Linked DNA regions of Coturnix japonica. The protein of the gene in region 2 interacts with the protein of the main gene of each other region in a biochemical or structural test. Links are inferred from orthologs where the notes say so. Each region holds a gene or a part of one and is shown on either strand. Other genes may lie near its edges. The genes, in order: CYLD and MIB2.

What was found.
Region 1: of the proteins of MIB2 (region 2) and CYLD, one has a biochemical effect on the other in vitro, tested with the Homo sapiens proteins (2 studies listed by BioGRID, with this or other methods). The link is inferred for Coturnix japonica from reciprocal best matches to the Homo sapiens genes MIB2 and CYLD.

What each region holds. Positions count from the first base shown.
Region 1 is NC_029526.1:5,132,304-5,136,756, forward strand, and holds the start of CYLD (ubiquitin carboxyl-terminal hydrolase CYLD), read right to left. Parts: upstream 2,927-4,453; 5' UTR 2,855-2,926; intron 1-2,854. UniProt on the Homo sapiens protein: Deubiquitinase that specifically cleaves 'Lys-63'- and linear 'Met-1'-linked polyubiquitin chains and is involved in NF-kappa-B activation and TNF-alpha-induced necroptosis.
Region 2 is NC_029536.1:1,723,981-1,727,793, reverse strand, and holds the end of MIB2 (E3 ubiquitin-protein ligase MIB2), read left to right. Parts: intron 1-406; coding exon 407-585; intron 586-768; coding exon 769-953; intron 954-1,367; coding exon 1,368-1,433; intron 1,434-2,151; coding exon 2,152-2,393; 3' UTR 2,394-3,558; downstream 3,559-3,813. UniProt on the Homo sapiens protein: E3 ubiquitin-protein ligase that mediates ubiquitination of Delta receptors, which act as ligands of Notch proteins.

The DNA.
Region 1 (4,453 bases), on a different chromosome or scaffold from region 2:
ATACCAATATAATGTTCCAGAGGAAGGAACAGAAAAAGATTCTCAAACACAATTTCCAGTTTTAAGCAATTTCTATATCTCCAGTATTTCTCTTTCCTGCTCTTGCAATCTACACCAAAAGAAAGAGACAAACAGTAGAGTATCATAGCTGTTAGGAGTATCATAGCTGTTAGCAACCCATCATGATCTGCTTTCCCTGCCATTCAGTCGAAACAAACAACACACAATGCACCAGAGCTTTCCAGTAGGCTCTTACTCTTCTCATTGTCACTGACACTTAGCTCTGAAGTATACAGAATCCAAGTATAAAATCGCATTTCTAAAAGAAAAGGCCAAAAAAAGCCAACGTTGCCCAACCAGCATCTGCCCAGCATATTTAACAAACCACAGGCTGCATGCAAACAAGCCAGAATAAAATTTAAATAAAATCTGGGCAGATCATCTTCCAGAGTCCACAGAGAGTTGTACTACAATCTATAGAGCTTTGCCCCATTTCCATATCAATTATTATATCATTTGGGGCATTAAGTAGATAATGCTGTTTACACAACTTTCTAAAATAACTAAAGAAGCCCATGAGGATGCCTAGTTACTTATGAAACATATGCAGACAAGATGCTCTCTGTGCAATGCAGCATCTTGTTTACAGGGAATCCTGTGATCTTTATCACATACTTGTTATTAACTGCTGTTATCTGCTGCATCACTGGAGGATAATATTTGCTTTTCTGAATCTTAATAAGGCTAAATACATTTACTGAATTCAACAGTTACATACAAGCAGCATGGGAGTCCAGCTCAGGACACAAACTGGAATCTAGAAAGGTTTTGTGGCCCAGACAGCAGCTGAGCAAATCAAGACTGTTTATTTTTTATTAGATTGAAGGCAAGAACTAGATGTGTTGAAAAACTAAACCCGGATGCAACGGTGTAAAATACTCAATGTCAGCTCCCATCTGGCTGAGGTGAGAACCCCAAGAGAACCAACCCGCTGTTTGCATTAAGATGACATTGCAGCATATGTTCATCATGCTTAGCGTGTATTTGCTATATATACAGATATGAAGACACTCATTTCATGTCAAAGCAGTGACAGTTTAGAGCGAATACACCTAAATAAATTGTTATAACATAATTGAGAGCAGAATAAGCTCTACTGTCCATATGAAAATGCACACACAATCTCTATAGACTGTGGAAAGGCAGACAGACATGAATTGATGAATGCACAGAGCAAACAGATTTGGGTGTTTTGATGCTTAATAAATATTTGCCAGACATTTTAGGAAACTCAGATAAAAGCTACTTTTCAAAGAACCTCGTGGTAATAGATGCACACAGTTTAAAACACGTAACCTTCTATCAGTAATTCACACCTGTATGTCTGTGGCTACTCAGGCAAGGAAAAATAAAGAGAAATAGATGGCCTGCTCTGATCAACTGATTTCTTCAAACGACTGTCGTCTAAATGCTTTTCACTCCGAGCAGTGCTCAAGTAGCCTCAGAAACCCAAAACGAAGCCCCAAATAGCTTTTCCCAAAACACAAGTTTCAATCCCAACGCCTTTCCTTGGTTTCTTAACTTCTCCCATCTGCCTCCACCCCGCGTTGCCACAAGATGGAGCTGCAGCATTTGCAGGAGGCAGCGCCTCTGCAAGCGTGAGAATGAAAAATAAACTTCTATAACAAACAGAAAGGATCGAATTGCTTGAAATTAAATAGATATCTATATACATACACACACCTCAAGCCTGATGTTTACATTTTAATACGATTAAACTAAATATATACATGTATCAATTCCATTGTGAGCTCAGACTACAGTGCCTAGCTCTCTAGCTGTCCTTCAGGACAATTTAACAGAGCCCTTTATCAGCCAGCAAGCTCTATGAGCTGGCTGGAAAGCTGAAAGGGAAAACGTTCTTGCAGGCTTTTAGACCTGGTGAGTTCAAAGCCAGAGTCACTGCAGCGCCTCAGTTCCTACAGTACCTTTTCCTTCTGATCAAAAGGAACTAAGTAAAACTCGCAACTCTTAAAAGAACTATCAAATAATGGGGGGAGGGAAGTAAAAATAAATGAACCCATAATGCCTTCTGAACAGTGCCGGAAAAGCTTATTGACTCCATCTTAGGTAGCTGCACTCCCAGTGGGGAAAACGAGAGCTGAGCACATTTTGATTCTGACTACTGTACAATACTTTGAAGTACCAATAATTTATTCACATAAAGGTGTAAATATATCCTAAACAGAATGCATTTGTAGCAACCGGACAGATCAATACAACAAGAAAGGCATTACAACAGTGGTGTGATGACAGAAGGACCAGCACAATAGAAATCTACAATAAAAGAAGGGAAGAAGATTGCTCACCTCTATCAGAAGATTCCAGCTTCACAAGGGAAAGCTTCTACAAGGAGAGACCTCCAACCAAAGACCCTTTCCCCTGTGACAGTTAGTTTTTAAATGAGGTCTAAAAGAGGTGCAGCCAGGCTCCACCCCTTCTGCTCACACAGCTGAATTGCCTTCACCTGTGCTCCCAGGCCTGAGCAGGTCCTTATCACAGGTGCTCAATCAGTGCTTCAGGCCATGACCAAACAGTTACCACACAGCACAGAGCCACAAAACTGTTTGAGTTGGAAGGGACCCTTAAAGGCCAACTAGCCCAAGTCTCCTGCAACGCATAGGGACACCTACAGCTCCATCAGATGCTCAGAGCCCTATGCAGCCAGGGATGGGCAGGCACTGCTTCTTTGGGCAACCTGTTCCAGTGCCTTGCAATATATACACATCTGTACAGTTGTAATTATACAAAGGTGAAATAGATGGATAGACAGAAGTATATAGGAAAGACTCACCAATGTTGAGGCACATGGTCGAGATGCTCACACATTTTGAGGCTCACTGTAGAAACTCCACACAGAAACGACCTCTAGAAAGAAATGCTGCATTAGGGGTGGTCAGCCCTTAAATGGGATCTAGGAGACATGGAGTCAAGCTCCACCCTTCCAGGAGAACAGCTGAATTACCTTCACCTGTGCTCCTGCAGCTGACCCATCACTTGCCTCAGATGGTTAATCAGAGGTTCAGGCTGTGATTAACAGTTCCCCATACAACATCTTATTTCAAGCATTATCCCCTTGTTATTAACATGGAAGGTGAAGACACATCGACTAACCTTGGGCTGTTGTCACCATTCATCTTCCTACAGCTCCCTCTGTTGTGTTGTGATCTTTCAGGTTGCTGGGATAACCAGGACCTGGAGGCTGCCTTCCCCCAACATGGGTGCCAGACCAGAGCTTGAAAGCAGCCTCCCCTGCATCAAGATTTTATTTCCCCAGAAAGGTTTCTTCCAAGGCTACCTGCTTTCAAAGGTGCTTAGTAAACAGTGTGAGGCTGTGCCAAAATCTGTCAAACAATGCCTCTCAGGAGCTAAGATCTTTGAAGGGGATCTCCCTCTCTTCTATTCAGCTTCTTCCAGAAACCCTGGAAGGAAAAAAAATAAGGACAAGACCGAAAGAGAGAAAAAATGATGCAATCTCCAAAGATGAGATTTGGCTGTTTCTGTCACTTCACCTTACCTCCAGGAGCAGCAGCTTAATATGTGCTGAGTTAGCAGAGGGGGTTTCCATGGACTCAGTCATAACGTACAGTGCTTTTATAGTGCTTGCCATGTTCAGAACATTTTATATAAATACCAGGCCAGATTAATCCAGGCTTTAAATCTGCATAAACCTTGGCAGAGGGCTCTGGTGCCCATGAGATTATGAAGTCTGCCGTGAAACTAAATTGTGATGATCAAAAGAAGAGACTCAAAGAAGGCGCAGCCAGGAAGAGAAGTGTGTTATTTGGAAATGATGAAGAGAGAAATCTGGGAGGAAGGAAACAAATGGGTGGGCAAGGAGTAGAGCTCAGTCACATGACAGATGGCCTCATTCTCAGAACTGATGCTGGCAAACTTTGGTAAAGGAAGAACATAAGTTTATTTTTATTTACTCTCCTCTGGAGAACAAAGGGTCACGGGGATTTGAAAGGTAAAACATTAATTCAGAGAGAATGACAGGAAAAAGAAGCAGATTTGGTTTATGCACTTACATTTCTTTTTATCTTGAGGAGTTATCACAGAGGACACTTGTTTACCAGTAAACAATCAGTGGTATAAATTATGTAGTCTTCCCAAGCAGCAGTGAACCCTACTGACTTGTTCCTCAATTTATACGCTCCCTGCGCATCTGACTGGCCCACATAGCAACTGTAAGGAGCTTGATTTGTACTGTAATATCAGAATGCATTTTAAATGTTAAATCTATTTAGAATTATGATTTGACATGCTGTGAGGTAATGTAATGATAACTGACCTAATTTGTCAAATATATCTCTTGTATAGGAAAGTAATTCATGTCCAGATGCACTCAGCCTATCTGCTGCCACCACCTCAAACCTTTCAAATGCCTACA
Region 2 (3,813 bases):
TGTCAGCAGAAAATTGTTTTTGACTTCAGATGAGTTTGGGATCATGTGCACACAAGGTTGGCCTTTTAAATAGCTACCATTTCAGGTTCCACATGCCAGCTGCCCATCAGCTGATATTCACTGTGGTGCTTTCAATATACACTTTGTAGCTCTTGTCTGCTGACTGAAGAAGTGAATACCCCTTACTATGGGCAGTAATGATCAGTACCAGTTGGGACTTGTTTTATGCCCACTTGTTCCAGGAACACAAGGTTTGAATCTGCTGTTTATACACTGAAGGATCATCTTGCATTTTGTGAATGCAAAACTGTGCTTTCAGATAGTCACTATGATGATTAATTTTAAACTTGGTACAGCTACGTAACAGAATCTTTCTATTAACAGTGTGTTTCTTAATGTATTTTAGCTGCAGGCTTCTGGCTTTCTTGGAAACACAGAGCTGAATGTTGGGACTGCAATTGCGTGTTACTTAGCACAGGAAGGAGCAGATATTAATTATGCAAACCATCGGGGAAAGTCTCCTTTAGACCTTATTACAGACGGAAGGATTGTCCAAATCATCAAAGACTTCTCGCAGAAATTCAGGTAAACAGTGTCCTGTGGAATAGCTCCCTGTCAGGAGGCTGAGTTGGTCTCACTAGTGCAATGAAGATTGATAAGTTTGTGCTACCTGAGCATCTGCATTTTTGTCTTCACATGGAATTGTTTGCCAGGGATCAAAACGATTTTATCAGCTCACTGAATTTGATTACATGTTCTCGGTTGCAGGGAACAGCAGGTTTCTTCAGACTGCTCAGCCATCACCTGCAGCCTTCGCCGCGTGCACACCACCCCCAACACAATGACCAACCTTAGTGTCTCAAGTGTGGCAGTCCCCACAGAGTGCCTGGTCTGCTCAGAGCTGGCCTTGCTCATCCATTTCTTCCCATGCCAGCACAGCATTGTGTGTGAGGGTAAGTCCGTTCTGTCTTTCTTTTCCTTTCCTGTTCTGCCACGTAGCCTCCCTGATTCATAAATCAGAGTCTGTTGGGATGCAAAGCTGTCCATGAGCTGGAACAGCCCCAGCATGATTTCAGCACTGTCACTGTAGATGGAGTGTCCAGAGCCACAGAATGGAGAGCTGTATGGCATCCATAGCACAGCAGTTCTGGCAACACAGAGCATTGAGAAGTCGTGTTGTGTTTGCTACTGCATAGGATAGACTGAAGTGAGAGACGAGGATGTAGCTCAAAAATAGAAGGCAGTGTCCTGATTTCCATCTCTTGATTATCCAGGGAGTCCTCAGGCCATGTTCTCGAGTCTATTGTCTTCCTATTGTTCTTGCAGCAGTGGGCTTAATTGTATCACTCCTTCTATCATTTTGGTAGAATGCTCCAGAAGAATGAAGAAGTGCATCAAATGTCAAGTGACAATAACCAAAAAACTCAAGCAAGGTATGTTTGCTGTACGTGTTTGTCCCAGCAGCAATCAGTGGTTCTCAGTGGGGGTAAAAAGCCCAAAACATAAGAAATAGAGTTAACTTATTTTTTTTGCAGGAGTGGGGGAGGAAAGGGGATCTGGTACCCATAGCATTAGTGTTAAACTCGTCCTTCATGGAATCAGGTTTTCTGTCCTGATGCCTGGACAAAAGCACAGAGGAACAGGGTCCAAGGATCTCATTAAGGTCCACTGAATTCTGTGCATAGTGTTGACTGTAGGACTCTGCTTCGTGTAGCTGCTTCTATGCATGTTGATGTAGGTGATGTCAGATGGTTTCTTGCTTCATACCTCGTGTGTCCTGAAAGACATAAGGGGAAAATTAAATCCAAAGTGTAATCAAGGAGGTTGAAAGAACACAGTACTGACATCAGTGTGAGGATTCATGGACTGTGTGGCAAAACGTCATAACCAGCTTTGAAAGCTTTTACTTAAAGGTAGCACCAACATATTGCAGAGCAGCAAGGCAGGAAGTATCAGACAGCTTGGATTAAGCAGCAGAAGAGAGGAAAGCACCACTGGCCAGTTGATAAAAAGCATCATTTCAGGCTATCCAGAATCCCTGGATAAGGACTGAACAAACTGCTGCTCTTGGAGTGACAGTCTGGTTAAGGAGACACTGCATGAGACAGAGCACAATAGCAACTAACTCTCCCTGCTCTCCCACCCCTGCAGACAGCACCGAGGTGGAGTGCAGCCCCAGCTCTGAATCCACAGATCAGAGGAAGCTCATGGAGGAGCTGCAGAACCGCTACCGGCAGATGGAAGAGCGCATCACCTGCCCTATTTGCATCGATGACCAAATCAAACTGGTCTTCCAGTGCGGACATGGCTCTTGCCCAGACTGCAGCACAGCCCTTACTGTGTGCCCCATCTGCCGGCAGGCTATCCGGGAGAGGATTCAGATCTTTGTCTAAGGATATGCTTGCTTCCCTTTCTGTTCCCACCTCCTTTACATCCTTTTTGTTTGCATTTTAGATGAGAAGCGCTGCTCGGTCTGGCTACCTGCAAAGCCATTGTGAAAGAGGGGGGGAAACAAATGTGACTTAGGTGAAGGGGTGGGAGTGTCCTCCACTTGTAGCACTGTAAGGGCAAGGAATGGTGCTGGAGGGCAGGCAGCCACCTCACCTTGTGCTGCCTGTCCTTTGGAAAGACACGAAGTAAAGAACGCTGAGCTGTCTGCTGGAGGCAGAAGAGACTTTCAGCCCAGAGGCCAACAGACGTTTGGAGTTTGGAGTGCTCCAGTGACTGCATCGTGTCTAGTGCCCTGCAGTGTCAGACTTGCAGCCTTTCGTTGCTCTGAAGGCGATGCTGTAGGAGGATGTACCTTCTACCTCGGCAGGTAAAGCGTTTGCTTGTGCTTTGTGCAAGGAGATACCGGAGATCAGCCGTGGCCATTGGTTTTCCTTGCTGCCTGTCAGTGGTAGGGAGGTCATGTCCTACGACAGCATGCTCTCTGAACGAGCACTTGAAGGCTCGACGAGATTTGGACTGACAGACAAATGTGGCTGTGATGAGATCCTAGAGACAGAGTGTGTGTGTGCCTTAGAGATAAAGTAGTGAGCACTGATTGGAGAAAATACGTTGTTACAACAAAAACTTCTCTAAGTGACACTCTTCCATGTTTTCTTTTTTTGCACAACCGTGCGTTCAGAGACTCCTGAGCTTTCTAACCATGATGCCAAAGGCAGGTGTTCAACGCTCCAATCAAAGTGTAAAGAAAAACAGAGTCATAATTAAGAAATGAGAAGGGTTTTCGGTTTTCGTTTCTTTGTTTTGCAGCAGAACTTAATAAAATAAAATTATATTTTCCTGAGCATTAAAATGAATGTACAAACAGTAGCTGAAATGTGGATCTGGCTGTACTTGTGTTTTCCAACTGTCTGACTGAAGAAATATTACCTGGTGATTCTGTCCTGTAAAGTTACTGTTGGCAGAAGTGGCCACCTGTAGGGTGTGTATGTATCCATATGTGTTTGCGTGTGTGGTGTACATCTTTAATGACACAATTATACACAAGTGATGCTGTTTGTTATACCTTGCAAGCACTATTTAAGAAAAGAAAAACCAACCAACCAACAATACTGTGTTCCTCTGCTATCTTTCTTCGTTAGCAAAGAGATGGCAAGTATTTGAATGGATGGAATCCTTGTGCAATATGTGGTAGCTATGGATATGGCTGTTTCTTCTTCTCCATCCCTTAGTGCTGTGAGAAAGCCCTGGGTCAGAGCTCTGGTTCTTATACATGTTCTTTCTCCAGATGCTCATTTGAAGGTGTCATCATTAAGGATGTATTTGACATAGAGTTTGAAGAGAGGTGAGGAGATGGCACAGCAA